7 linked regions of the Oryzias latipes genome follow. The protein of the gene in region 4 purifies or fractionates together with the protein of the main gene of each other region. This does not show direct contact. Links are inferred from orthologs where the notes say so. Each region holds a gene or a part of one and is shown on either strand. Other genes may lie near its edges.

The links.
Region 1: the proteins of mepce (region 4) and ccnt1 purify together in Homo sapiens (affinity purification with mass spectrometry; 3 studies listed by BioGRID and IntAct, with this or other methods). This does not show direct contact. The link is inferred for Oryzias latipes from reciprocal best matches to the Homo sapiens genes MEPCE and CCNT1.
Region 2: the proteins of mepce (region 4) and lsm3 purify together in Homo sapiens (affinity purification with mass spectrometry; 3 studies listed by BioGRID and IntAct, with this or other methods). This does not show direct contact. The link is inferred for Oryzias latipes from reciprocal best matches to the Homo sapiens genes MEPCE and LSM3.
Region 3: the proteins of mepce (region 4) and snrpd3 purify together in Homo sapiens (affinity purification with mass spectrometry; 3 studies listed by BioGRID and IntAct, with this or other methods). This does not show direct contact. The link is inferred for Oryzias latipes from reciprocal best matches to the Homo sapiens genes MEPCE and SNRPD3.
Region 5: the proteins of mepce (region 4) and snrpf purify together in Homo sapiens (affinity purification with mass spectrometry; 4 studies listed by BioGRID and IntAct, counting the BioPlex papers as one, with this or other methods). This does not show direct contact. The link is inferred for Oryzias latipes from reciprocal best matches to the Homo sapiens genes MEPCE and SNRPF.
Region 6: the proteins of mepce (region 4) and ybx1 purify together in Homo sapiens (affinity purification with mass spectrometry; 3 studies listed by BioGRID and IntAct, with this or other methods). This does not show direct contact. The link is inferred for Oryzias latipes from reciprocal best matches to the Homo sapiens genes MEPCE and YBX1.
Region 7: the proteins of mepce (region 4) and snrpg purify together in Homo sapiens (affinity purification with mass spectrometry; 3 studies listed by BioGRID and IntAct, counting the BioPlex papers as one, with this or other methods). This does not show direct contact. The link is inferred for Oryzias latipes from reciprocal best matches to the Homo sapiens genes MEPCE and SNRPG.

Annotation. Positions count from the first base shown.
Region 1 is NC_019865.2:25,916,051-25,920,145, reverse strand, and holds the start of ccnt1 (cyclin-T1), read right to left. Parts: upstream 2,801-4,095; 5' UTR 2,767-2,800; coding exon 2,594-2,766; intron 862-2,593; coding exon 780-861; intron 692-779; coding exon 563-691; intron 10-562; coding exon 1-9. UniProt on the Homo sapiens protein: Regulatory subunit of the cyclin-dependent kinase pair (CDK9/cyclin-T1) complex, also called positive transcription elongation factor B (P-TEFb), which facilitates the transition from abortive to productive elongation by phosphorylating the CTD (C-terminal domain) of the large subunit of RNA polymerase II (RNA Pol II).
Region 2 is NC_019863.2:18,333,618-18,337,719, forward strand, and holds the start of lsm3 (U6 snRNA-associated Sm-like protein LSm3), read left to right. Parts: upstream 1-1,302; 5' UTR 1,303-1,385; coding exon 1,386-1,406; intron 1,407-4,102. UniProt on the Homo sapiens protein: Plays a role in pre-mRNA splicing as component of the U4/U6-U5 tri-snRNP complex that is involved in spliceosome assembly, and as component of the precatalytic spliceosome (spliceosome B complex).
Region 3 is NC_019870.2:16,128,909-16,132,875, reverse strand, and holds the start of snrpd3 (small nuclear ribonucleoprotein Sm D3), read left to right. Parts: upstream 1-1,167; 5' UTR 1,168-1,297; intron 1,298-2,084; 5' UTR 2,085-2,105; coding exon 2,106-2,231; intron 2,232-3,683; coding exon 3,684-3,876; intron 3,877-3,967. UniProt on the Homo sapiens protein: Plays a role in pre-mRNA splicing as a core component of the spliceosomal U1, U2, U4 and U5 small nuclear ribonucleoproteins (snRNPs), the building blocks of the spliceosome.
Region 4 is NC_019872.2:14,589,097-14,592,596, reverse strand, and holds part of mepce (7SK snRNA methylphosphate capping enzyme), read left to right. Parts: coding exon 1-1,043; intron 1,044-3,500. UniProt on the Homo sapiens protein: S-adenosyl-L-methionine-dependent methyltransferase that adds a methylphosphate cap at the 5'-end of 7SK snRNA (7SK RNA), leading to stabilize it.
Region 5 is NC_019881.2:20,375,325-20,379,528, reverse strand, and holds the start of snrpf (small nuclear ribonucleoprotein F), read left to right. Parts: upstream 1-1,404; 5' UTR 1,405-1,539; coding exon 1,540-1,542; intron 1,543-2,138; coding exon 2,139-2,264; intron 2,265-4,200; coding exon 4,201-4,204. UniProt on the Homo sapiens protein: Plays a role in pre-mRNA splicing as a core component of the spliceosomal U1, U2, U4 and U5 small nuclear ribonucleoproteins (snRNPs), the building blocks of the spliceosome.
Region 6 is NC_019865.2:7,798,494-7,802,502, reverse strand, and holds the start of ybx1 (nuclease-sensitive element-binding protein 1), read right to left. Parts: upstream 2,801-4,009; 5' UTR 2,665-2,800; coding exon 2,553-2,664; intron 1,011-2,552; coding exon 947-1,010; intron 721-946; coding exon 687-720; intron 598-686; coding exon 508-597; intron 439-507; coding exon 157-438; intron 1-156. UniProt on the Homo sapiens protein: DNA- and RNA-binding protein involved in various processes, such as translational repression, RNA stabilization, mRNA splicing, DNA repair and transcription regulation.
Region 7 is NC_019865.2:4,866,768-4,870,541, forward strand, and holds snrpg (small nuclear ribonucleoprotein G), read right to left. Parts: upstream 2,462-3,774; 5' UTR 2,348-2,461; coding exon 2,316-2,347; intron 2,173-2,315; coding exon 2,150-2,172; intron 1,996-2,149; coding exon 1,871-1,995; intron 660-1,870; coding exon 609-659; 3' UTR 501-608; downstream 1-500. Other genes in the region: zinc finger protein Xfin, read right to left, coding at 3,710-3,774. UniProt on the Homo sapiens protein: Plays a role in pre-mRNA splicing as a core component of the spliceosomal U1, U2, U4 and U5 small nuclear ribonucleoproteins (snRNPs), the building blocks of the spliceosome.

The sequences.
Region 1 (4,095 bases), on a different chromosome or scaffold from region 4:
CAGGTAAGCCTGAGGTTGAGAGGACAGGCATGTTACTCTCCCAGACGCCTGCAAACTGTTGTCAAACAAGAGTGTCTGAGCAGCTCACTCTGTGGTCCTAGAAATGTTCGTCCATTCATGTAAAAGTCCACAAAGCGAGCGCAGACACTCCTGTTTTACAACCGATAGACATCACATCACCTGGGTGACTGAAACCTACACAATCAGACGCATTTTGACCCTTGCTCTCTCAACCCATAGGGAGCAGCGTCTCAAAAAAAAAAAACGTCAACAAGTCGGTCAAGTGGTTGTTTAAAGTTAACATGAAAAAGAAACCAAAGAGTTAAGAAACTCCCCCCGCCCCTCCTCTTATCACAGAACCATGGCAAACATTGTTCTTTCTAGAAAAGAAAAACTGGGATTAAGTGATGCACACAATTAAGACACAAGAACTGAGAAGACAGCTCAATGAAATGCAGTACACAGGAGAGCAGTTCAGATTTACAAGCCAAGCAGCGCTTTTGCAGTTTTTTTTGAAATGCAGGACAGACGAGTACTCATCTCACCGCCGTGAGACACTTACATCGCTGCGCACATCGGGCGACGGCTCCTGAGGATTGAGACACGCATGGGCCACTTTAATGACATGTTCCAGCTTCCTGGGCTGCTCTTCAACCTTTGCAGCGAGGAAAAGTGCGGCAGGAGAAATCACCTGAGGAGGAGGTGATAAGTTGTGACTTTTATTTCCACCGGTAAATAAATCTTTAAAACAAAATGGTTTTGGACATGAAAACACTTACATTTCGGTGAAATCGGGTGAAGGACTGGATCATGTAGAAGCGATGCATGTACACGATGGCTGTGTTAATGGTAAGTTGGGAGCTGTCACGCCAGTTAAGGACCATTGGAAAAACTGTGCAATCCTAAAACGCCACCGGAGAGAATTTTGCTAAAGTGACACAGACAGAACGTGTATCCTTAAAGCTGCGGACACACCGGACACGCGATGGACATTCTTGAGTGTAATCGCAGCATATGGTCTTCGCACTGCCCAAGTAGGGAGGGGCTTCTTCTCTCTCTTTATTACCATTTGTTAGCACATGTCTGCCACCTACTAGAAGTTTGGTGCGAAATGTCCAAGTGGGGAAAACCTCACAAAACTTGCTCCAGGCTTTTTCTTTCACAGCTCTATTCCGACATGAAAGACTTGGTTCATAGAATTCTGGCTGGGCACAAACTCTGATAATTTCTCTTTTAAAATCATCAAATGGACGGTACAACCGTGAATCAAAAGTGACGCCATCCATACCCAACTACCAAGTCCGAGATTTACACGGACTTTTTTTAATTGGAATAGGCTGCATAGCACACGTTGCAGACATTAACTGTAAATACAAACTAGACATACTGACCCCTCCTCCCTTATGTTCCAAACAGGAAGTACCCCCTGGCTCCAAGAAGCCAAAATTCCCATAGACTTTTATAGAGAAATAGATGGCTATTACTCAGTCACACTGCTTGTCACTCAGAATAACAGTTCTTGCTCTGCTATATATATTTTTTTACAGGTTCTTGCAAATTTATTTCCTGGTCTTTTTTTCTTAATCACAATTTATAAACTGACCAATCAAATGTCTCGGTAAAATGATTTGGTGCCCACTGGCCCCCCATCTCCAACCTTTGACAGATTCTCCCAAGCCACTTTCCGTGGAAGTGGTGTGGAATTCAAACATGCTTAGGATATAAAAGCCCCTCCCTTTCTTCTTAAATGGTGTGCATCTAATTAGCCAGTCGTGGCGGTTAAAGAAATAAACAAGTAGGTGGTGCAGATTACAGTAGATTACTAGCTCTTGGGAGCTTTGTGTGTCCTATTCAGAGCTCTTCTGGATCGCAGTCTGAGCATGCCTCTTAATTTGAAAATAAAACGTTTAGCTTAGTTACATTCATATAAACAAAAAAACTAAGAAATACAGTTAAATCTGGGAATTCTTTAGCAACATTCACGTGTTTTATGAGCTTTCCATAACTTAGGATACCCTTTGGTTGGAGGGCCTCCTTTAAATTTCACCGTGAGGCCCCCCAGAACATATGAAGCGTCCATGATGAGGATAATAAAAATAGCCCATCATGATTTTTACCACCACACCACAAACAACGAAAGCCAGGTTGCAGTACAGTAGTATAACCTCAATCCCTCACTCACAGCCTCTGAAGAGGCTTTTCAAGCCTACAAATAAACAATTTTCCTAAAAAGTTGATTCAATTTCAATTTATACTATAACTGTGCTGTTTATTTTTTAGCAGAATATATTCATCTGTTCAGAAAACTTCTTCCTAGTCATTTGCGGCTAGTGAAGCTAACGTCCCGGACAGGCCTGTCGAGCTACAGGCCTTGGTGGACCCGGCTAGCCTGAGACGCCGCAGGGAGATGTTAACGTAGAAACAGCGACGGAAAACAACCGCCATTTAGTCAACAACACACGATACTAACAAATAAACAAGAACCCGTCGAACAACACAAGAAATACCGGCCACGCTCTTGGCCGAGCAGGTTACACTTTGCTGGCTAGCATGCTAATGCTAGCTACGTGCGACGCAGCACGACAAAAGATACACATTGAGCCGCTGTCCCATGTCCTGGATCAGGTTCGCTGCCTGTTGCCTGTACGACAGCTCCTTGTCGGGGTCTAGTCCAGCTCGCCGAGAGGGGTTGTTGTCGATCTCCTGCCTGGTGAAGTACCATTTATTATTATTGCTTGCAGGGAGAGAACGAAACGAAGCCGCCATTACTAAGAAGGACGAGAGTTTAAAATTTCTGCGCGTCACAGGAACATACGTCACAGAGGGCGCTGTTCCTCTGGTAACCGACAGATGTCGCCAAAACCAATGTGTTACTAGGCAATATGGGTTTTTGCATTTCCTTCACAGATTCTGTGTTGGATTTTTTGGATACTTTTTCTTCTCTTTTTTGCAGTGTGGTGGTATAAATATTACTCCATAAAGATACAGCCCCGTTTCATTCACAGTGCAACTGATTGAAGGAGGTTTTCACTCAAATCTATCTTTCCTTAATAAGTCTTCTTGTCCACTTCGCAGAAAACCAGCCCCAAAGCATAACGTTTCCACCACCATGCCTCACAGTTAGTATGGTGTTCTTGGGGATAAAACTCAGCATTTTTGTTCTCCTAGTGCTCCTCTGGATCAGCCTCTGGCATGATTTAACAAACATGGACATGTGCTGGAGGTGGACCATTGGAGCTTCACTTTCTGACTTTCTCAATCTACTGATCAATATTTGTTCCAAAACTCACCTGTGGTCATGAGCTCTGGGGGATGACTGAAGGAACGAGGTCCTGAATACATGAGCTTCCTCCATCGGGTGGCTGGGCGGTCTTGTAGAGATAGGGTGAGAAGCTTGATCACCTGGAGAGAGCTCGGAGTAGATCCACGTCTCCCCTAGATCAAGCAGAGCCAGATGAGGCGGCTCAGCCATCTGGTCTGGATGCCTCCAGAGCCCCTCCCTGGTGAGGCGTTCTGGGCATGTCCCACTGGGCGGTGGGCCCAGGGAAGAACAGGACACGGTGGAGAAACGATGTCTCTCAGCTGCGCTGGGAAGGCCTTGGTGCTGACTGACCGCAACCTGGGCAGAATAAGATGGAATGATGGATGGATGGATGGATGGATGAAATGATGGATGGATGGTTGGATGGACGGAATGATGGATAGATAGATAGATAGATAGATAGATAGATAGATAGATAGATAGATAGATAGATAGATAGATAGATAGATAGATAGATAGATAGATAGATAGATAGATAGATAGATAGATAGATAGATAGATAGATAGATAGATAGATGGATGGATGGATGGATGGATGGATGGATGGATGGATGGATGGATGGATGGATGGATGGATGGATGGATGGATGGATGGATGGATGGATGGATGGATGGATGGATGGATGGATGGATGGATGGATGGATGGATGGATGGATGGATGGATGGATGGATGGATGGATGGATAGATGGATGGATGGATGGATAGATGGATGGATGGATAGATGGATGGATGAAATGTTGGATGGATGGATGGATGGATGGATGGATGAAA
Region 2 (4,102 bases), on a different chromosome or scaffold from region 4:
CAGGATCTCTTCCATCACAAAGCCATGATGTAGCTGAGGGTGGAATGGGCAGTACCACTGCTCTGATCTGCCTCCCCTCCCACTGACAAATCCAGTATGAAGAACTGGATCGTCCTGAGAAGAGAGGAGGCGCACACCTGTAACCCTACAAACACAACGCGGAGAATAGCAGCCTCACAGGACCAGAGGCTGTGTATGACATCACAAACAGAACGTCTGCAACCCATTTAGTTACATTAACCAGTCTAAACTAGTGATGTTCAATAAATATAGTTTTTTCCCCAAAATAAAATAATGACGCAATAAATCACAACCGCTGCATCATTTTATCTTTACTTAAATAGCATTTTGCTTTTTATTTTCCAACACTTGGTTGGTATCCTGTATACAAGAAATTGTTATTTTTAATAAAAAAAATAATAATTGAAAAGCAATTTATTTCGTTTTTCTGCTTTTTAAGTCCACCTATTATAATTTTAGACTGTTATTAAAACGATTTCTTATCTTTAAATGCAAGACTTTGAAAAGAGTAATCAATGAACATAAAATAGCCTTTTTTGGTCTGTTAGTTTCAATTAATAAATCGATTAATTATTTAGTGTAATCATTAAAAATAAATATTTGAATAAACTGCAGATTACATTTTAGGAATATATTCTCTCTTAAAAGAATTTTAACGGTTTTCTCACTAACGGAAAGCTTCATTATGTGTAACTATTTACATTTCATTTCTCGTTTACATTAACATTTCGCATACGGAATATTTCTAAACAGACCCGTTAGACACTGAATTCCCAATAACAGCTTTACTACCACTCAAAACGCTCTGGAATATTAGTGTAGACAGGACAAATACCTCAAAATGAACAGATATTTATGAATTAATTTACCTTCTCGCTGCTCTGCGCGGATGACACGACAGTGTCCTGTGAGGACAGAAAGCTCTGGAAAACGCTAAAGGACGGTACTGGATAACGTTGCCAGGTTTGAACATACACGCAACGCGTCGAGAGAAAGGTGAATTTCTTTTCTTTATAGTTTAGTCTTTTCAGTTGTTTCAATTTAAAAGTGGCAGGGATGCAACAAGGAGATGTTTGTGTTGTATTTAAATTTTAGGTAAGGACTATGTATGGATTTACACATACTTTAAATTTAGTCTTTTAAGGATGGATGTTGATACCATAAGTTTTAATAATAAACATTTCACATTCTCAAAGTACGCATAGATATATATTGTAAACTAATTATTTGTATAAAATTCAACTTTGTTGAACTGGAAATCGAGGGATAATTCGAAACGCACGTGTGTGTTGCCGTTTGAAATCTTAATTTCACCGGACCTGGCAACCTGCGTACCGGAATCGACGCGCGCATGCTCGAACAGTATGGCGGACGAAGCTGAGCAGGTTAGCGGTTCTTTCGCTAATTATATGTTTAACCTTACAACGAACGAACAGAAGCCCACTTTGCTTCTAAAAGTGCAGACTGCGCTGCACGCTGCATTATTTTTAAAGTGCTTTAAGGTTATTACAGGAACGTTTTTGACCTGTTTGGGGCCGTGGAAGCGGCTAACCGAGTTAGCCGAATTATTAGCCTTGGTGTTCCTGTGTTTCAATTGAACGCAAATGTTTGGTTTGAAACACAGTTCATTGCTTTAGTGCTAACCAGGCAGCTAAATAGTTTATACAGGAAGGAAAGTTTGTGTAAAATGTGTGGGGAAAACAACAGCTGTAGCTCCAGCCGTCGAGGGCATGCATTCTGCTGTGTTCATTAAACGGCCTTCTTCTGATTCTGGTTACCTCAGGTGTGTTTTGCTAATCAACAGCAGGCAGACTAGGACACCTGCCCTCGAGGACTGAAACTTTACATTTGAGGTTTCTACTCTCTGAAACGCTTGGCGTTTCTGGCTGCCGGCCGCTCTGGGAGGGGGGGGGGCGCCTACCGCGGCCGGCTGGGGGGCCGGTCGCTCGGGGGAGCCTTCTCCCCCGGTTGTGCCCATCCGCCCGCTCCTCCCCGCTCTCACCCAAACAAATATTGCACACAGGCACATAGGGCCCCGGGATCTGGATGGGAGGGGTATGCTGGCGGGGCTCACTGGGGATGCCCCTCTCTGGGTTCTCGTTGGCACCCGCCCTCCTCCCCGCTTTTTACTTGCATATTAGACACTCTGATTCATCTAGGGCCTTGTGGAGAGGGTCTGGTGGAGGGGGGCACGGTGAAACATCCGTGCTCACCTTTCGCTGGCCCCCCCACAATTTTAACTTCCTCTGTAGACACACACACTGCATGCTAGCAGCACACACACAGCAAATACACACCACTCACAGAGGGACTCCGGAGTGGGGGGCTTTGCGGCTTGGCAGCGGTGGAGCCCCCCACACTGGTGACCTCCTATTTTACCTGCAGCACACACACAGCACTCCCACACCTCCATACATGGGTGGGGTCGGGGGGGGGGGGCGGCCGGTCTTCACCCGCCTGGTCCTCTCAGGGCGGCCAGGCTTATGGGTGTCCTGTCGGCTGCGGGAGGGGTCGGGCATGCGGCGCTGGGGGTTGGCCGGCTGGGGGGGGGGGGGGGGGGGGGGGGTTACTGCTTGGCGGCGGGGGTAGGGAGGGTAACCAGATGATTGTGAGTATGTGTGTGTGAGTGCATGGGTAGGACCGACCTGGGGGCTGGCTCGCTGGGACCCTCTGGGGCTTTCCCTCCCAATCACAGAGAGGGGAGGGCACTGAGAGGGTTGGGGAGGGGGGGTCAGATATTATGGCGGGGGGGGGGTTGTAGTGCGTCGGGTTTTAGGGGGGTGGCTGTGGCTGCGGGTGCGTGGCGATCCCTGGGTTGCTAGGGTCGCGTGCCTGGGCTGGCTTGCGGGGACGGGGCGCTGGTCGGGTGGTGGCCGGCTCATGGGTTCCGGGGCCCTGGCTTCGTCCCTGGCCTTTGTCTCGGTGTCCGGCGCCCGGTGGCCCCCATGGCTGCCGCCTGGTACGGCTAAGCGCTCCTGTCTTGTGGCCTGGGGGCCGGACACTGGGTTCGCTTGTGCCTCTGGGCATTGGGGGGGCCCCTGTAGGGGGGCCCTCTCTGTGCCTGGCTGGTGGGGTGGGCGGTCCCCTCCTCCTCCCCTCCCGGGCTGCCTGGGTCCGGATGCTGGGGGGGCTTCTGGCCTGGGGGGCTCTCCTCCCCTCTCCTGGTCTGGCTGGTCTGGCTGGGTAGGATCTGGCTCCCTTTATGAACACACGGTTCACGTCGGCAGCATGCATGTATCTCCACCCCCACGTGCACGTGCACACTGCCACACTGCTCCCTGTCTGCTTCATCCCTCCTCCTTACCTACAGTGTATTGATGGACAGTTTTTTTTCCGCTCATCTTAGTGTCAGATTTTGACCTTTGATGTAACATTCGTCTTTCCAGCAGATCTGGTATAATTGTTACAGCTTAAATTAATAACTTAGTCAAATCAGTGCTTGTATCCCCCACCTTTTCACCTTTCTTCCTTTTACTCTCTTCCACCCTCCCCTCACATTCTTCCCCTCTCCCTCCCCACACACACTAAATGTAACAAATAAATAAAAAATAATACGACAAAAAGGGGTTTATACAAATCTACACTCTAGTTTCTTGAAGCTATATAACCTCTTTTTGTGATAGTAAAACCTGTCCAACACAAAAAGCCTTCAGCTCTAATCTGTTTGCTCAGAAGTTGGACAGAACAAGTTAGAAAAAAAAAAAAAAAAAAAAAAGATTAGTAAGCAAACTGACTTTCATTCTAATCACAAGGTTTAGAATTTTTAGTCACCAAAATGTTTTTTTTTTGTCTTTTATTTTTATTTTTAATGCTATACTCTTAATTTAACAGTTCAAACACATTCACACAGGTTACCCAAACGCCAATACATGTAATCTGCCTTCACTTGTTTTGCTGAAACCCATGAGATTAGTAATGCTTTTATATTAAACATATATAAATGTCACAAAACAGTCGTTTTTGGTGTCTTAAATGTAGGTTGGATGTTTCAACATTTTATTTTGATTGCTGAATTAAAAACTGTGAATCACAAGTTGATTTCTGTGTTGTCAAATTGTGTTGAGATGGGAAAAAAAGTAGT
Region 3 (3,967 bases), on a different chromosome or scaffold from region 4:
GACAACCCAGATCAACATCTAAGTGACATGATTCAAAGGCATCAGTGTAAACAGGCCTGTTAGCATCCACCCAAAACAAGTGCTTGTTTGATCTCTGCAAATGTCACTGCTCATGGCTGGACTGGAACTACGTTCAGAGTCAGGTTAGCATGCATTAAACGCCTGAAACCCTCATGGACACGTAAAGTAGATACACATGACCACACGCTGCACAGGTACAGGTGTTTACAGAGTAGCCTGTCTGCTGACGCCAGTCAATGACCCTGTTGCAATGGAAATCAAATGATGGTTCATTTGGTGATGTCTTTTATTATCCCATTATGCTTTGTCTTTCCTCATTAGAAACCTCTTCCAGCGTGAGAAAGCCCCGCATTAAGCAATGTTTATGCGTCTCACTGAAGTGGTAAAAAAGACTAGTCCACATAAATAAACACGCAAGGGTATGTATATGATACGTAAAGTCTGTTCATTCAAAAACTATGTAGAGTAAATGTTTATAGCTCTCTGTGGTCGATGAAAAAAATCCATTTGAATTGATTGAGTCGTTTCATTTTCATAATCTCTTCTTGCTGGGATGTTTTGACAAGCATATGTGCCAGCTATACACGTGTTCGGGATTCAAATCTTTCACATAAAACAAATAAGGAAAAGAGAAAAAACATAGTGAGGAGGATTATGGAAAAAAAACATGCACCACTGCAAGGAATCAATAAAATATTTTTACAAATATCTATCCAGTGTTCCATTATAGTTGATTTTTTCCAATGAGTAATCATCAAATTAAATTCATGTTAATCTAATTCAGGACAAATAAACAAGTCATTTTTTATTGTGTACATTTTTAATCTGTTAACGTTTCATGATTTCTATTTTTGTTTGAAAGTCCAATGTCCTATAATGATTGGTATTCCTGGACCTCTCTGAGGCCTTTTGATGAAAATTAGTTTTTATTTACTATTACTACTACTTCCAATACTACTAAAAAAGAATAATAATAGTACAAAAAATAATAACACTTATTATTATTATTGTTGTTGTTGTTTCTCCTTAACCATCTTTCTGGTAACTGGCTGACTCAAGTGAGTCTACATTCTGTTTGACCTAACACACCTGGTTTAGGTAATCAGAATCAACTACATGTCCCATAATGCACGGCGAAAAGCGCCACAGGAAACAAACGCTTTGTTGGTGCATTGTGGGTAAGCGGAAAAAAGGCTCAAACGCCAAGCTCAACGACTAGCCCACGTTGCTGAGCCGCTAAAAAGAACAACAATTCAAGAATTCAAAGGGAGTTGAAGTAAGACTTTAAACCCTAGCTACTAAAGCTAGCAAGTATTATATTGTGGTTGGTATTTAGCTGTGAATGTGATTCAGAATTATCGCTTTTTGTCTACATTGCCTCCCATTTGCTAAGTTTCGAATATGTCCATCGCTCCATCCATGCCTGATATTTAGCTTGTGTCTAAAATAATTTGCACGTTTGAGTCCCAACAATGTTGGGTGTGAAGCATTAACGTTAAATATATTGTGGTGGTTTACTTCCCACAGTTTTTAATTAATGTTTTGTTTCGCTTGAGGCCAGTAGTTGGTGGCTAGTTAGCTAACGTGGCTAGCTAAGCTAGCCATTAGCGTTACTACGTTTTAAAAGTAATCCCGAACATTTACCTGATTAAACTGTGTAATCCAAAACTGAAGAGTTTTCTGCAGCACTTGATTTCTCTACGTAGAAATAATACCGTCTTGATAAACAGTACAAGAAATAAATCACTAACGAGGTAGCTTAGCTAATGATAATGGAAACATTGTTATACTTAAGTGCCTTTTTTGTACGTTTTTTTTTGTGGGTGTAAATTACCTTATTTACAGCACAAAACAAGTCTTAAGTATGTTCTAACAGTAAATATTACTTCCAAGCCAGACACATGCAAACATAATAATCATAAAATTGGATGAATGAATTGCATGTTGTAGACTTTCAGTAGCCTTCTGTAAACAAAGACAATACCGTACGTCAGGTTTTGTGATAATACTGTATGTTTCAGTGCCCTTTACCGTATGTTTTGTCTTTTTTTTTAATTTAATAGCCTAGAAAGACCGTTTCCAAAATGTCCATTGGCGTACCAATCAAGGTCCTGCATGAAGCAGAGGGACACATTGTGACCTGTGAAACCAACACTGGAGAGGTTTACAGGGGCAAACTGATCGAGGCTGAAGACAACATGAACTGCCAGGTTTGTATGGAGTAACGTCCCCCCCCCAAAAAAAAAAAGCATGCCGTAAATTTCTATTTAGAGTTCAACTCACTGTACCACACTTGAGAAGAACATTTTAAATGTGTAAAGAACACAAGAATGTTTTTTTAATGGACATTTTATTGTTGGCTGCCCCCCCCCCCTTTTATTTCACATACTTTTTGGAAACAAAAATGCCAAAGGTATTTTAATGCAGTTTATTGCACCAACTCTTATTTAGACTTGCACATTTGTTTTTTTTGCTTTCACAGGAATAAGTCTAGAATCTACCAATTATAACAAGCAGGTGATGTAGAACTATTTGAGTAGGTTTGTTGAGAATGTAGTATTTTAGTAAAACAATTGCGGTGAGACAAACTCATGTTATACTTTCTTTCTTTCTTTTTTTTTTTTAAAAAACAGTTGTTCAACATGTTTGTAGCGAAAGACAAATCGGTTACTCCTCTTCGAAGAAAAATCTCTCCCGGTTTCTTTGTCCCTCAAAATCTCAGCCAACCACACGTGTGTAACGTATGATTGATTGATGTAGTGACTTAATTACTCAATGAGATCAATGGTGCTTTTACAGTCAACAAAACATACTCCCTTTTACTAATATGCATCAGGTCAGTGACCTGTAGGGAAAAACAAAAACCATAAATGATTTATCATTACCGTTGGAAGTAAATAGAAACACAGCACTAAGAAACCAAACGGCCCTGTGTGGAAAAAGGAAATTATGTTGGATTATTTTAAAGTTTTGGGACAGGTTGCCTTTATGACCTTTGTTTTTTTGTTGTTTTTTTTGGGTCTCTAGTTTTGGTTGCACATCTGTAACAAACAAATCTGGAATAACAATTTTATTTTATTTTGTAAATTTAAGTTGTGTTCTTTCTATTAACTGACCCAATTCACCCCCCCCCCCTAAAAAAATCTGTATAGTTATCTGGTCATATATGCACATTTGTCCTTGAAATATTTAAAGCCATTTTTCTTAAAGTATTGAGTACTGTAACTAAATATATTTCCCAAACATCCTGTCAATGCTGATAGTCTTTTCAAGCTTCATTAGTGCAGTAAAAGTTTAATAGACTCCAAATCTGTTTATTTCATTTAAAAGCAGAAATTTTGGTGGATAAAGCTCAGTGTGTCTTAAAAGTACTCTAAAGATAAGTGTGAAGGCTTTAACAAAACGCTAAATATTCTAAAACGTATATTCTGTTAATAATTGTAGATTTCTTATTAATCAAATGACAAATCAAAAAGGTTGTTAGAAATTATTTTAAGGGATTAAATGAAGTATCTACAAATGTGTTTTCAAATAGAGAACTGCATTGCCAAGTTTAACAGATAACTTAAAATGTTAACCTGCATTCCATTGAACACTGTAAACGTGTATCAAGCCATTTTACGAATCTAAGACCGGAACCATTTATTTCTATGTCCCAACAGATGTCCAACATCACAGTAACCTATCGTGACGGGCGGGTTGCCCAGCTGGAACAAGTGTACATTCGTGGCAGCAAGATCCGCTTTCTGATCTTACCAGACATGTTAAAGAACGCTCCAATGTTAAAGAGTATGAAGAACAAGAACCAGGGTTCTGGAGCAGGAAGAGGCAAAGCGGCCATTCTGAAAGCACAAGGTGAGTGGTTCCTAACCAATGCTGATAAATGGTGTGTCCACTTTTCCTTATTCTTGGTACACCCTGCTTCCTGAATGCTGTTTTTTTTTTT
Region 4 (3,500 bases):
AAATGAGCTCCTCCACACAACTTTTAGGTACGCAAGGCTCTTGTTCGGTTCTCGATTCTTCTAAAGAGTCCATGAGTTTCTCTAGTGTCACGGCAGATTCCCACGAGAGCACAGCTGAGAACGCAGCAAGCGGCAAAGATGAGACGCTGTTTGTACCTGTCGAAGAATATACCTGCCCCCTGTCGGGGGGGCCAAGCCACCACGCCGGAAGACGCAGACGAAGGCGCAACTCAGGCAAAATTGATCCTCCTGTCACCCATTCTACTCCCAGCGGTAAATTAGCACCAAATGACAAAAGTTGTGGTACAGGCGGAGCACAAAATTATTTTCACACACCAAAAATTGGTCCCAAAACTGGAGGGGGGTCACGTTCGTACCAGCAACCTCACAGTCAGGCAAAAGGACACCAAAAGAAGTTCCAGTATGGAAACTACAATAAATATTATGGTTATCGCAACCCGGGCAACAGTGAAGACCCGCGTGTTCGTGTATTGCGTCCGGAGTGGTTTGAAGGTAAAGATGTGCTGGACTTGGGGTGCAATTCAGGTCACTTAACACTCTACATTGCCAAAATGCTGCGGCCTGCACGCATATTGGGGCTCGATATAGATGGTGGGTTGATCCATGCAGCTCGTAAAAACATTAGGCATTATCTGTCTGAGCTGCAAACCCAGGAGGCCAGACAAGCTGCTAAACAGGAAGAAAGAAATGACAAGGATGTCAGCACGGGGACAGACGAGAAGCACAGGGACACCGAGCGCAGAGAGGAGCACTGCAAAGCAGAGAGAGGACAAAGAGGCACTGCGGAGGCTGAGAGTGACAATGGCTTCTGTCACACAGATGATGTAGGGACTCCAAGGCAAGATGACAAAACAGGAGAGACAGGACAAGGAGACTGTGAAAAGCAAAGCGCTGATCAGTCAGTGAGCTGCTCCTTTCCCGTGTCTCTACGGATCTCCAGAGGACCCATCGCTGCACCTCCTTTGACCGAAACACCCACCCCTCAGCCCGGGCAATTTCCTGCCAATGTCTCCTTTATCAAGGTACGTTGATGTTGGGCAATTCCATTTTAATCTTCGTAGTTTTCACGTGTTTCTAATGTCTTAGCTATGTCAAAAAATCACAGAAATGTATTATTCTGCTTCCAGACTTCAAAAGAGAATTTGCACATTCTTCTTGTCTACATGTCAGTGTATATAATGAGGATCTTTGTTTGTATGAATGTCCTCCATTGTCTTCATAGCTGTTGGAATCTTGGCTTTTTTTTTTTTTGTTCGTGTTAATCAACTAACAGGAGCATGCTAAGTCAATTAGCAAGTCAGCACATATGTGGCTAATCTAATCTAGTTGTTATGGAAACATTAGTAGTAAAAAATAACGACTCATCTATTTGTACGGACAGTATTTTAGTTTCCTTAGAAGACAGCAGAAGTCAATACTTAATGAATATTTAACAGCATAAAATGCTGCTTCCACCAAAGTGCTGAGACCAGAGACTGGAGAGTCGGGCCTTCTTGTTCTCACCTGAGATCATTGTGAGGCTGCAGAGTGCCACAGTCTCTGCCATCTTGGATGCAGTGTTTAAGCTGCTGCTCACATCAGTCTTTTAACTCCTTTTACTACAAGTCAGATGCTCATGCAAGTACTTGAACTGCTGTTTTGTGGTAATCCGAGAGAGCATTTTGCTCCACCGTTTAAAGAAAAAGAGCATGCAGAAATAACACAGACACTGCAGTAAAGGCATGCACCATTATAACTAGACAACTCAGTCCCTCCTGCAGTCAGTCTGAAGTTACGTTCACACCACCCTCGCCGAGGCGCGTTCAAGCTTCCAATGAAGAGTCTATGTCAGGGGTGTCAAACTCATTTTCACTGAGGGCCACATCAGCATGGCGGCTGTCCTCAAAGCACCAGATATAACTTATACATGTAACTAAATGTAATGAAAAATAAATGTAACTACTCCTTAATGTTAAATAACTCATTATTTATTTATTTATTTAAACTTTTTAAATTGACAATAACAGTTTCATAGAAAACATATGTTTGTTTGTTATTCTGGCATAAATCCTTTTAAATTTGATTCTGACAGGTTAGGTTATATGAACAGTGTTTAAGTCCTAATGTATAGTTGGTCAATCAGATATTTTAAGTCCAATTCCCCCTAGATATGAATAAATACACACCAATTTGTATTTTTTATTCTAAGAAATTAAAAACTTTTATGCTCTCGCGGGCCACATAAAATGATATGGCGGGCCACATTTGGCCCCCGGACCTTGAGTTTGACACATGTGGTCTTTGTAAACACGCGTAAACGCTTGTTTCAGGCTTCCGGGTTCAAAACTCTTGCAGTCTCACATAACTGCACAAGTTTCTACAACCACTTTAAGGCTTCATGTACATAAGGTGTGGTATGGAGAGAAATTAGACTCAGTCGGATTTTTGCGTGCGTAATTCTTGATTTGTGCATAAATTAGGATTTGTGTATGCATATTCTTGCTTTGTGCGTGCGTAAATTAGGATTTGTGCACAAATTTGGATTTGTGCGTGATTTGTTACTCACATAATACGTTTTGTGTATAAGTTAAAAAAATATAAAATGAAAAAAATACAAAATGCAATTTACGTATGCACAAATTAAGATTACAACAGCTTGAAACTACTTACACACACACATCTTTAAAAAACACGCACGAATCCCTTGTTACGCACACACGAAGCCAAAGTTACGCACGGATCTACCGTGAGACTGTTTTGACGTCTCACAAATCCGTCCGTAAGTGCTGCGTTTAAATACCAGTGGAATGCTCGGTCATTAGAATTTTCCTATCAGCCTTCCCTTCTAAACGTATCCAGACAATGACTCGATCAATACATGAAGACAGTAGATGTTAGTGTTGAACATAGAGGCTACTTACTTCGGGGCGCTGACCACCGAGATGGGCCGCCGTTCTTCCCGTGACTCTCTCAGTTTGACTGCCTTTGATTTTTCCGGAAGAAAATAAACAGTGCCCCCTACTGGTCGTTCCTGTTACGCATTTTGTATCAATTCGGAGTCTCGGAGAATAATATACTTTTAATATATATATTAGCCTTTAAAAGTGAACGTCATATTCTCAGGTAATAATTTTTATTTTCCTTTAAAGTTTTTTTAAGCCCTGCTACACCCACTGAAGGAAATACGTGAAGAAGGGAAGGCTGATAGGAAAATTCTAATGACCGAGCATTCCACTGGTATTTAAACGCAGCACTTACGGACGAATTTGTGAGACGTCAAAACAGTCTCACGGTAGATCCGTGCGTAACTTTGGCTTTGTGTGTGCGTAACAAGGGATTCGTGCGTGTTTTTTAAAGATGTGTTTGTGTGTAAGTAGTTCCGAGCTGTTGTAATCTTAATTTGTGCATACGTAAATTGCATTTTGTATTTTTTTCATTTTACATTTTTTTAACTTATACACAAAACGTATTATGTGAGTAACAAATCACGCACAAATCCA
Region 5 (4,204 bases), on a different chromosome or scaffold from region 4:
TTGGGGCAGTAACCCCCAAGCTGGAGGAGTGGTTACAACAGATACCTGGAAAGACCTCAGACCTCTCAGTACAGAAAAGCGCAGTGCTAGGAACAGCTAAGATACTGCGCAGGACCCTCAAGCTCCCGGGCCTCTGGTAGAGGACCCGAGCTTGGAGGAGAAAGCACCCACGGAGGGTGAGAGGGGCGTTTTTTTAAATTTTATATATATATATATATAGATATATAGGGAGCTGGTTTAGCTCGTGCTGGTTTGCGGCGCCTTCCGTCCGTGAAACCAGGGTTCGACTCCGGGCTGCTCCCTGTTCCCTTCTCTACTTCTGTGCCGGTCCCAAGCCCGGTTGCTTTGAGAAGGTTGCGTCAGGAAGGGCATCCGGCGTAAAACATTGCCAAGTTTACCATGCGACTCGTTCGCTGTGGCGACCCCTGATGGGAAAAGCCAAAAGGGAAACCAACCCTATCTATCTATCTATCTATCTATCTATCTATCTATCTATCTATCTATCTATCTATCTATCTATCTATCTATCTATCTATCTATCTATCTATCTATCTATCTATCTATCTATCTATCTATCTATCTATCTATCTATCTATCTATCTATCTATCTATCTATCTATCTATCTATCTATCTATCTATCTATCTATCTATCTATCTATCTATCTATCTATCTATCTATCTATCTATCTATCTATCTATCTATCTATCTATCTATCTATCTTCTGAAGATGAGACCCACCAACTCACACATTGATTCTCGCACTGTTTTCCCAACAATCTATATGTCATAAACACTTCTCAGCTTACTTACTTAGCCATTGCCTCCTTGGTAACCGCCTCGCACCATGATTCCTCTGTAGCAAACGTGAAATCTACCTGGCGTTGATACAGAGTGTGAGTGCCTGTATGGTGAGATGTCATCCACAGTTTTGGCATCTTCTCCAGCTCCAGGCTCAAATGAAACATTTACAAAACTAAAATCATTTTCTTACATTAAAGCTCGGTAATGCAAGCCTTTCAAATAAACAGCAGAATGTGAGAGTTCGTCAGCACATGTTGTCAGCAGCCTGGAGCTGATGACAACAATTCTATAATTCCATTGGGTTTTATATTATCTGATTATAAATCATTTTTAATTTCACTTATTTATTTATTTTTTGACATTTGGTCTTGTCTCATTGTTATAAAATAGTTTATTTATGTTTTTTTTCATAGTTTGTTTATTTTTTGTTGTTTACTAATTGTGTGAATGATGTTGTGTCATTTTGTAAACTGATTTTATTTATGATTATTTTATTATGACTTTATAAAGCAGATGCACTGGAATGTGATCAGAATATAGTCCGAGTCTTTTTGTTGCACTAATACATCCAGAACGCCAGGGGGCGACGTGAGGCGCGGCGAAAAGCTCGATGCCACTTCCGTTTCCTGTCGGCGGCAAAGCGTGCTTCTAGTTTGTGAAGCTAAAACGTTTTTGTGACGAAGACATAATAAACTTCTAATTTACTGTTAATCGGGTCTAAACTTAATCGAGCAAAATGGTGAGTAACTCTTCAAATATGTAATTTCACACGGCCTTTGGGTTTATTGAAGTTTGTTAAAACAAAGAATTTAAGAGAGTTAGCTCGTTTATGCTAGCCATGTTAGCATCCCATTCATAACTGGTTTACACAGCTCGTAGGGGAAAACAAACTTACACTAAAAACAAAACTTTAAAAATGAAACGGTTAGATATTCAAGTGAGCTTTTACTAAAGTGTTGTTTGTTTTGGGTAACGTGTTGCCGTATCAGAAAATGAACGTCCGTCGGAACAACACAAAACTATGACGTTCCTCTGCAGGTAGTAGTGTGGTCGAACATTATACAACAGATTAATAGAAGTATATAGGTCATTTGAATAATTAAACTGCTCCAAAACCGAATTTATGTACTGTTTCCCAATTATTCAATTTATTTTTTTAATGCAGTCCAGATTGGTTCTTCAGTCGCTCCTGTTGATGATTGGTGGTGTAAAGAAATCAGACGTGGAGACTGTCCATAACATGAATAACCCGCATACTTAAAGTTCTAAATATCTCATAGGGAAAAGCGTCATGTTTGCAGACTTGATGTAAGGTTTCAATCCCCTCTGCCGCAGAGTTTGCCCCTCAACCCAAAGCCTTTCCTGAACGGCCTGACAGGGAAACCAGTGATGGTGAAGCTGAAGTGGGGAATGGAGTACAAAGGCTACCTGGTGTCTGTGGACGGATACATGAACATGCAGGTAAAAGCAACTCTAGCTTCATTCACAACTATATCAGGGTTTATTCTGGGATTTTAAAATGCAGCTGCAACACAGAGGCAAACTACTCAAAAGTAAATGCAATTATTTATTCAATCTATTTTAAATTAGTCAAGAGTGTTTTTATCGTACTCAGTTTGTTATTATTATACATGTTTCTAAATGACCAACAGTGTTTTCAGTCTTCTATTCTGAGCATTAACTTAGACGACTGTTGGTGGAAAACCAATTAGCAGCTTTTCTTGTACCAGTTTACAATTTTTTTCAAAAATTCTAACTATCCTATCATATAACATTTTAATAAAAAAAAGTCGTTTAAAAAAAGGTCAAATGGCTCCTGTCGCATAGTGACAGCCTCTGCAAAGATGACGGAGGCTTTTTTGAGTTTGCTAAACGATCCTGTTCAGCAATTATTGATCAGGAACTTTCCGCTTCATCCAAGAGTCAAAAACAAACTCAATACAGTTTCTAAATGAAAACACTTCTGGTTTTTCACAATAAGATTATTCTGGGCACAAATAACAAAACATTTCTCTGAACCAATGAAGTCATTCAAACCAAATCATAAATGTTGTCTCACATTGTTATTTAAACAGTAAATAAGTCAAAACAACTCTAAACACTTATTTTTTTTAAGTATTTATCTGTGATGCTCATTTTTTGATCAGGGTTATCCGTAGTAATCACAACTAAAAATGTTCCAAATTTAGCTTTTTTGTCCTTCACTGAGCAATTAAGTCTGTAAGTCAGTCGCTGCAGCGGCCTGATACTGCATGAAAGTTGGCTAGCATTTCTAAATCTGGAACAACTTTTCTTACCAAAACATATCAAACCATTTTGTTCTATTGTTTAGATAGCAGCACATGTAGAATAAAAGAAATCTGTTTAAAAAATTGAGATTTCAGACCCTTAAAGCTCTCACACCAAACCGGTGTTGCTTCTCCATATTTTACATAATTCTTTGTATATTTAGATTTCATGAAATTTGACCTTTGCTAAGAAACTCTTGTTGTTTAGATGAAGGTTGTTGTTTAACTTTGTCATCTTTTATTATGAGATTTTAAAAGAAATACATTTGTTGTGTTTTACTCAGAGGAAATTACCATAAACATTTTACTTGTTTAGTTTGTAGAAAAAAAGTGATAAACGGCAGGAAAAGTACATGATTGTTGCAGAAATCCTCAGATGGAATGGGTTTTTACCAAACTGTGACACGCCACCATAACAGTAACATCTTTTCTTACGCTTTTCTAAGCTCTTCAGAAAAAAGTCTTATATCTGGACTTGTTTTTAAAATGTTTAATTTCCTGAAATTCCAAAGTAGATTCTTTGTCGAGTGAATTTTCTCAGGTTAAATATTAGTTAAAAAATGACAGAAAAATATAAGTATTTAGATGAAAACTTGGGTGCTGGAATTAAAGGTTAATCTTTTAACATTTGTAGAAAAGAACAGAAAATTTGCATTTGGTTATTTGGGAAACAGCAAAGAAATCCATAAGATCTTTTTTTTTTTTAATATTCTTGTGGCATCTTTCTCATGATGGAGAACACGTATGAAGAATGAATCAGGAGCAGAAGACAAAATGCCTTTTGATTAAGATCGTATTTGTGACGTTGAAAATATGGTGGGCGGGCAACAAGCTCCCTGCTCCGAGGGAAAGGGGGGCGGGGTTGCTCTGTACCAACAGTTTCGCCACAACAACAAACTGGGTAATCATAATTAGAACCACTGGGAAGGCTTTGACACTAGATCTTAAGATGATCAGAGCTGATCTTTAAACTAAACGTTATGAGTAGTTTACTGTTTAATCCAGCAGAGGGCGCCACAGAATGAACGTAAAATCTAACAAATCTTTAATTTGGTAGAAAAATGAAGAGAAGGTTTGAGGTTTTGACTTTTCTGTATGATGTCTGACAGCTGG
Region 6 (4,009 bases), on a different chromosome or scaffold from region 4:
TACCAAGGAGCATGTTGGGAGAAGAGCAAGTGTCTCGACTGTCATGGTACAACTGGTTGCCTACTTCTGGATAGCAGCCTGGTGACCGCGTACCACAGTCATTTCTCCGCGTGGTGCATTGGTGTACGGGGGTCCACGACCATAATGTCTACGTACAAAGTATGGTGGGTAGCGTCGTCTGCTGGGGTAAGTGGGTCTGCGCTGCTGTGGCTGCGATTCTCCCTCAGGGGCGCTTTCTCCCCCGTCTCTGTTTCCTTTGTCACGCACTCCGTTGCCAGGCTCGCCTTCTCCATCACTTGGGTAGTTCTCTGGGTATTCTCCTCCACGAGGGGGCCCCCTTCTGCGTGGGTAACGCCTGTAGCGGTTCCTGTCAGCAGCGTATTTGCTTCCCTGGACAGCCACCCCTCCAGGGCCAGTGACATTTGCTGCCTCTGCACCCTGTTAACAGATAAGTTTAAAATTGACAACATGCCTGCAAACATAACCAAATTCTTCCCAAAACATTACCTTCTCTCCCTCAACTACATCAAACTCCACAGTCTCTCCGTCCCCAACACTGCGAAGATACTTCCTTGGGTTGTTCTTCTTTATGGCTGTCTGAAATCATCAACAATTGAAAAGTGAATTAGTCGAAATAAAAAAAAAATGTTTTAAGTTTCCAAAAGGTTTGGAAAATAATAGGTCACCTGGTGTACAAAAACATCCTCTTTTGTGTCATTCCTGAACAAAAAGAGAAAAAAATAAAAAGATTCAGTTATACCACACATGACTTACTAAGACAACACACCTCTGAAGACAGATTGCAACTAAGCCAACAAGTGCAAGGATTAATGAAGTCTTGCAGGTTACAGTGTGCATGCAGACCACTAGAAAAAATAATCAGGTCAGCCACGTTAGCAAAGCAATAATCATAATAGGATTGGGAACGCTGGAGGTGGTCATTTACCTATTGATGAAACCATATCCATTCCTGACGTTGAACCACTTGACTGTACCCAAGACTTTTGTTGCTGCAATGAAAAACAGAGCAACTCAGTTATCAAGTGTCAATATTACTTCTCTAAGCTGCAAAGGTAATTTTAGAATAGCAGTAATGAAATTTTGAAAATATGATAATAGATTGGGAACAGTCAAAGCATCGCACATAATAAGATATGTGCAGGAAAAAACTAGCCATAGTGTGGACGTTAAAAATAACTTCCAACTGTCGTGCTTATTATAGATGCTGATGCTTAGGAGAGCCTGGCGCCAGCTGCTCCCGGTGTGAAGCTCCGGCCATGGTAGAAAACAGTCCAATTACATTGACTGCAAATGTGTGGAAGGAATGCGGATAACACGGGGAACAGAGCTTACGACACGTCAAACTTCAAAACAAGTAACCTCGCGTTTAGCAACTGCATTTAGAGAACTCGGACATTAAAGACCTACTGCCCCATTTTAAGACGCCCAGTTCACGACGTGAGCGTTCACACGTGGTAGGGTCGCACACGGACAGACCGAAAAACAAGCCGAGTTGGCTTCTTAGCTTAGCCGTGTAGCTAAGAGTTACAACCATGTGGTTGGAGTATAGCCAAAAAGCGGAAACCAACGTAATAAACCCATCAACATCTTACAGATGTTACTTCGAAACTACTTAAGCAAGCGCTTTTAGTACCTAAACCGAGCTAGAATAGAACTGTAACGTATAAACGGATCGTGTAACGGCGGACATTTTGGGTGGCCTTTTCAGCCATGTAAATAGCCAGCCAGCTAGCTGGCTAGGCTAACATTAGCATCGTTAGCAACTGGAAAGCTATCGTGAAATAATTAGGCCTCACCGAAAATGTAAAAAAAAAATCGAGTTAAAGCTTAGGACGGTTTGAATACAAATCCCAAAGCGTTTATTATTGAATATATCTAATAGTTACAAAATAAACTTGAAAACAACCACCTTTAAGCTTTGACAGAGAATACAGGGATTCGACACTTGTGCGAACAAAGGGATAGTAAGCAGCTAGCGTCAGTTGCCGGTGAACTTGTTAGTGTGAACTAACGCAGGGTATTTCCAAGTTTAAAACATTTATTCGTCATTTTTTCGGGTTTTGTTCGTACTTTTGGCGGTTAACGGTGAGAGATAAAGGTCTGCAACGTCTGGTAGTAAACATGCTGGATCTGACATAAATTACTCCTACGATCATCCATGTGACGGCCGTTTGGATGCATGCGTCTCTTTTTCGCAAATGTTTTCCCACCAAGACAGAAAATCATGGATTAAGTGGTTATTTACTACATTTCTAAGATGTGGATTTTTCCTAAACTTGTGACATCTCATAGTTAATGAGAATGATACGCTATTAATGAATAACCGTTCCCAACTGACAGTTTTTAAAATGTATAATTATATTGACAGTTGGTATCACAATTCGACGTACGGTTTAACGTCCAACTACTTAATAAAGTTGATCGTAACGGTCATTTTACATTAACATAATTCAACGGCTGTTTCTGTCTCGTTTACAGCAACATAAACCACGTTTAGCATCTAGTTAGCTAAGTGGAGTCGGCAGTCTTACCGATGACCTTCTTATCCCCCGCGGAAGCTGCAGCTGCCGGGCTGGATGGGCTTTCCGCATCATCGGCAGCAGGCTGCGGTGGTTGTTGTTGTGTCTCGGCCTCGCTGCTCATAGTTACTGGTTGGTAATGGCTTCTGCCGGCGGCGGCTCTCTGCTATTTTTCCCGGTGCTAGATGGTAACGTGGGCCGGCGGTGGTGGGGGCTACTGCCTTCGGGCTCTCAGCTTTCCTCTTTCCGCTCCCGTTGCCGATCGAACTGGGCAGAATCAGTAGTTGTGTTGGGGAATGTTCTTGGTTGTGGCCCCGCCCATTCGAGCTTTTCACTGGCTGGAATTATTGACTGAATGCGTCACAGAAAAAAGGCGTCCTCTGATTGGCTAGACTACTGTCAGTCTAGTTGAAGCGACGCGTTTTCACGAACGGTTGGTTAAAGGTACCGTACCTGTCAGTTTTCACCGCCCCATTGTAATCATGTGTCAGATGCATAAAACTAAAAAAAAAGACGCATAAAGCTAGTGTTGATCCACGTAAACCCCTTTTAAAACCGTAGTTAAACAACATTTTTATGGCATTATTAGGAAATATTAGCCTACTTTTAAATATTGCTGGAGGCTAACAATTTATGTAAAATTTCAAAAAGTTTGACTCCCACAAAAGAATCAGAATATATTGTAAATTTAAAAAAACATCCACAATATTGCTTTTTTATTTTTACTTTTAAAATGAATGGTTGTTACCTGTAAATAGTGATGATTAAACATCAAAAACCAAACTTGATAACCAAAATACAAAAGATCCAATCTGCAAATTTTTAGATTTGACTTTTTGCAAAGAGAATTAGATTTTGTGAGGTGAACATTTGTGAGGACCAACCATTCAACCTGCATTCTTTGAACCCTTATAACATTAAATGCACATGAACTGTTTAAGGGAAATGCTTATTGCATATTAATTGTATTTTCTACACATAGAACAAAAGAAGAGCTTAATAAATCTTTAACAAAATGACAGTGAATTTCACATGTGAAAACCATGCACCATTCTTTCCTAGTTAGCTTGGCATAGTTGGGATGTCTTGTCTTGTAGTCCCTCTTGATATTGAATTTCTTGAAAACATCCAGCCTCTTGCATGTTTAGTATCTTACTGAAAAAAATACACAAATTTCTACTTGTCCTGAAAGCAGCGACCCCCAATTGTCAACATTTGTTAAATTTACAGTCGACATTTTAGAAATGAGCTAAAAGGTATTGCAAAAGGGTCACATCATAGTGTTGCCATAGGTTTAAAATGGTTTATAAAGTAGGCAATCATAATCAAGAAATCATACACAGTTTCCTGGGAGCACATTTATTTTTATAAAAGGTACCAGCAGGCTAGAAGAGGCTTTCAGGAGGGCTGCATTTGGCCAGACTTTGTAGAGATCTAGAAAGAAACCTTTGACAGGTTTCTGAACCCAC
Region 7 (3,774 bases), on a different chromosome or scaffold from region 4:
TTTAGAAAAATTGGTAACCCTTTGTTTTAGTGTCAAGCAGCTAATGTTTTTAATTTTAAAATACCTTAAATTTTTTTCCTTTCAACGTGGAAACTTTTAAACTTGATAGAGCTCAAGAATAAACAAACTGAATCCAACTTTTTAATATTTTATGAACAAATACTTGCCTGCTAGTTTATAACAAGTTTGCCAGCTCATGAATGGAAATTACGCATATCTTAAATATTCAGCTGACTTTAGGTCTATCAAATTATTAAAATAGTTCAGCATTTATGTCTTCATCACCAGCATTCCCAACATTGTTTAGCCATTATAGCTTTTTAACAGCTAAGCTATAAAAAAAGCTTTCGAATTCCTTAAGATAAGACTAACCCTAACATTTAAGATATTCTTTTTTTGTTTAGCAGCTCATCCTCCATTACAAAAACACTAAATTCTTGCTGCATCTACAGGAAAGAACACATACAGTAACATTTCGTAAAACCAAACAAATGCACGGATAAAAAGAAAAATAGTTTATTAACAAACAAACATCTCAAAACCAACAGACTTTCATTGTGAATGAACTACAATGGAATGAGAAAACAGGAGGCGCCGCTGTGCTCTGCTCATACTCGCTCCAAAGCCTCCAACATGATGATGCTGTTTCCTCGGATGACCTTCGGGAAGACAAAAGGAAAACAGATCAGATCTTTTCACGTTTACACATTTATTTTTACACAATTGTGTGTTGAATAAGAGAAATGTTCTAGTTTGGGAAAAACTACTAAACCCTTTCCTGAGGCTGTCACATCAGGAAAAACCACGAACCTGCCAACGTTTGGTTTCACAGATATTCACTGGAACAGGCAATTGTTATTTGTTCTTCCGTAAAGACAGGTCAGTTTTGTTTCAGATAAACTAATTAGACATCTTTGGAAAAGCTGGAGTATTGGGGGGGGGGGGGGGGGGGGGGGGGGGCAGTATAATATATTTAAGAGAGATTTTCAGTAGGCATTGAGGCTCCCCTGTTGGTCTGGATGTATTTATTTTAAGTAGTAATGAACTTTTGGCTACACATAAAAATGTGGAAATGTTTTCCAGTAACCCTGCTTTATTTGCAGCTAGTCACGTGGATCAGGTGGATTTCATCAAGCAGAATCTGCAGCTTCCCGATCTAGAAAACCAGTAGCAACTAGAATACAGATGCCTGGAAAACAAACGAGGAAGTCTGTCTTATCAATATAATGTTATATTTACAAGAGAAAGTGGATAGAATAGGTTCTTTGACTAAAGAATTTTGAATAAACTTCGAAACAAAATTTGTTTTTGTAGAAAAAATTAAAAATTAGTTGCCGGAAATGATCAAAACCACTAAATGACCAACTGGGATTGCTTTAATTTATTTACTTTGACATGTTCTTGTGGCATTTTTCTGATGAGGACATATATTTAAAAAAAATATGCTTAAAATTGCTTTTCTGCGTATTTCTTTATTCAAAATGTAGTGAATTAAAAGGAGTTAAAAAAAAAGTAATTAAAACAAAAAAAGTGTATTTGTGAGGTAGAAAATTTTCTTTATCAAAAAGATGATTTTTAGAACATTTACATTTTTGTTACTAACTAGCAGACCCCTAACATATTTTATTGGTTCATATTTCTTTATAGGATTGTCTGGTTTGTTAGGAAAACAGTTGTGCATGTTTTTATAAATCTATGTAGACAGCACTCAAATTGGTTCAAATTGTCAAAAGATGGAATTGCTAATAAAGATAAAAATAAATAAAGAGTATGATCTTTAATTGAACCTATTCGTCCTGCTATTACGGGTGGGGTAAAACATTGAATTAAACTATTCCCTCATGCTTCACAGTTCTGCTCGGACACTGACCACCATCCCGATGGTGTTCTGCTGTCCCCCGGGGCCCATCTCCAGACAGTCGTCCATCACCAGGTTCATGAAGGGGTCGAACCCTCGCAGGATGCCCTGGACGTGTCTGCCTCCATTCAGCTTCACTGAAGAAAACAAAAAGAGCAAACTGATGAACATGAAGGCTGCTAGCTTAGCTAAAAGCGAATTTAATTTCACAAGAAAAAGCCGGCGAATGAATAGAAATATAGTGTAATTTTGAAATATGTATTAAATAATGAAACGAGAGTTTTAACTCACGGGAAAGCTTTTTGTCCATGAATCTGAAAGACAAAAACATTATTTAGATTTAGCTTCAATTCCTAGCTGTTCCGGCTAACGGTGGCTAACATGGAAACATACTACAATCTCGCGAAAAAGACCGAAGCTATCAGGCCTATCATCTTTCAAAAACTTGCAAACTTACTTCTTTAGCTCTGGTGGATGCGCTTTGCTCATGGTGTCTGTATTTTAACGAAACAAAGTCGTGTTTCAATTCACAAAACCGCGTAGGAAACGCGTGTGGACCGGGAGACCGGAAGTAAAACCCTGTGACCTTTGCTGTGCTGCGCCCTCGTGCGGCTGGGAGGAGTAATCTGGTTTAAAAAGGGATCAGCCAAAGGCAAATAATACTATTTGCAGTTAGAAAATGACCAAAACAACTATAAAAATACATGCACATGAAGTGTGTGATATATTTTATATATATATATATATATATATATATATATATATATATATATATATATATATATATATATATATATATATATATATATATAGAAAACCTTAAAAAACTCATTGTATTAATAGATTTTTATTTGTGCAAAAGCACAGCTGATTAGTTTTATTTTTTTTTGGTTGAACATCTGAGCTGTAATGATCAAAAGCAAAAATAAAATCAAACATACATTTAAAAAATGCGACAGTTTGTTTTACTTTTTCCTTTACAAAGGAAGATTGTGAAAAATTCCCAAAACATTTTTCAAACTTTAAATCATCACAGTGACACTGAAAAGAGCCGCTGAAAATAACTTTAGAGAAACAAAACTTTGAGGCGGCTGCTTTTGTTTGCATAGAAAGGAGATACAATCCACGTTTCCTGCTATCAATAAAGACATCAAAAACGTTTTTTATGAAGCAAAGGTTTATAGGAATTCATGCTAGACCCTCAGAAAAATGGAAATCTCATAAATTCGCACTCACTAAAAAAACAAATGGCTGAGATTCAACCCAAAATCTACCAAAGAGAACAGCCAGCCATTCAAGAGGATGTTAGCATCCATTACTTCATATTTCCTCACTAACATGACCTGAGCTACCTTAACTTTAAGAGGTTATGGGAACATTTTGAAACTATGATAAATTTGATAAACTATGATTTTTACTTTTACAAGCAATTTTAAAGAAAAAAGAAAAACAGCTTCATTCATCCTCAGTAGGATGTTGTTAGCAAGTTACCATGGTGATGTGCTCATGGAAAGCTGTCCTGACAAAAAATAAAATGTAAGAATTAATAATTATATATTTGCTGATTATTTGGAAGAAAACAGCACAATTTGACAAAACACATTCAGTGTATTAAAGACATAAATGATGATGTTAATCAGTGCTTTCCCTCTCCAGGAAGTTTAAGTTTTGATGGGAAAATAGCTTTTGAATCTGCCAGGCGTTGATTCAAATTGTAACAACTTTATTAACAAACAGAAAGCAGAAGGCATCGCACTTTGATGAGTAAACAAAAAATCAAATGTTCTCTTCAACCCTGAAGATGATAAAGCAAAAAAAAAAAGGCAGCTGTTGGACACATTCTGTTTCCCATCAGGCTTTGCTGGCCTGCTGTGCCAGCGCCTCCGACTCTCGGTCCTCCTCCACCCGGACCCGCA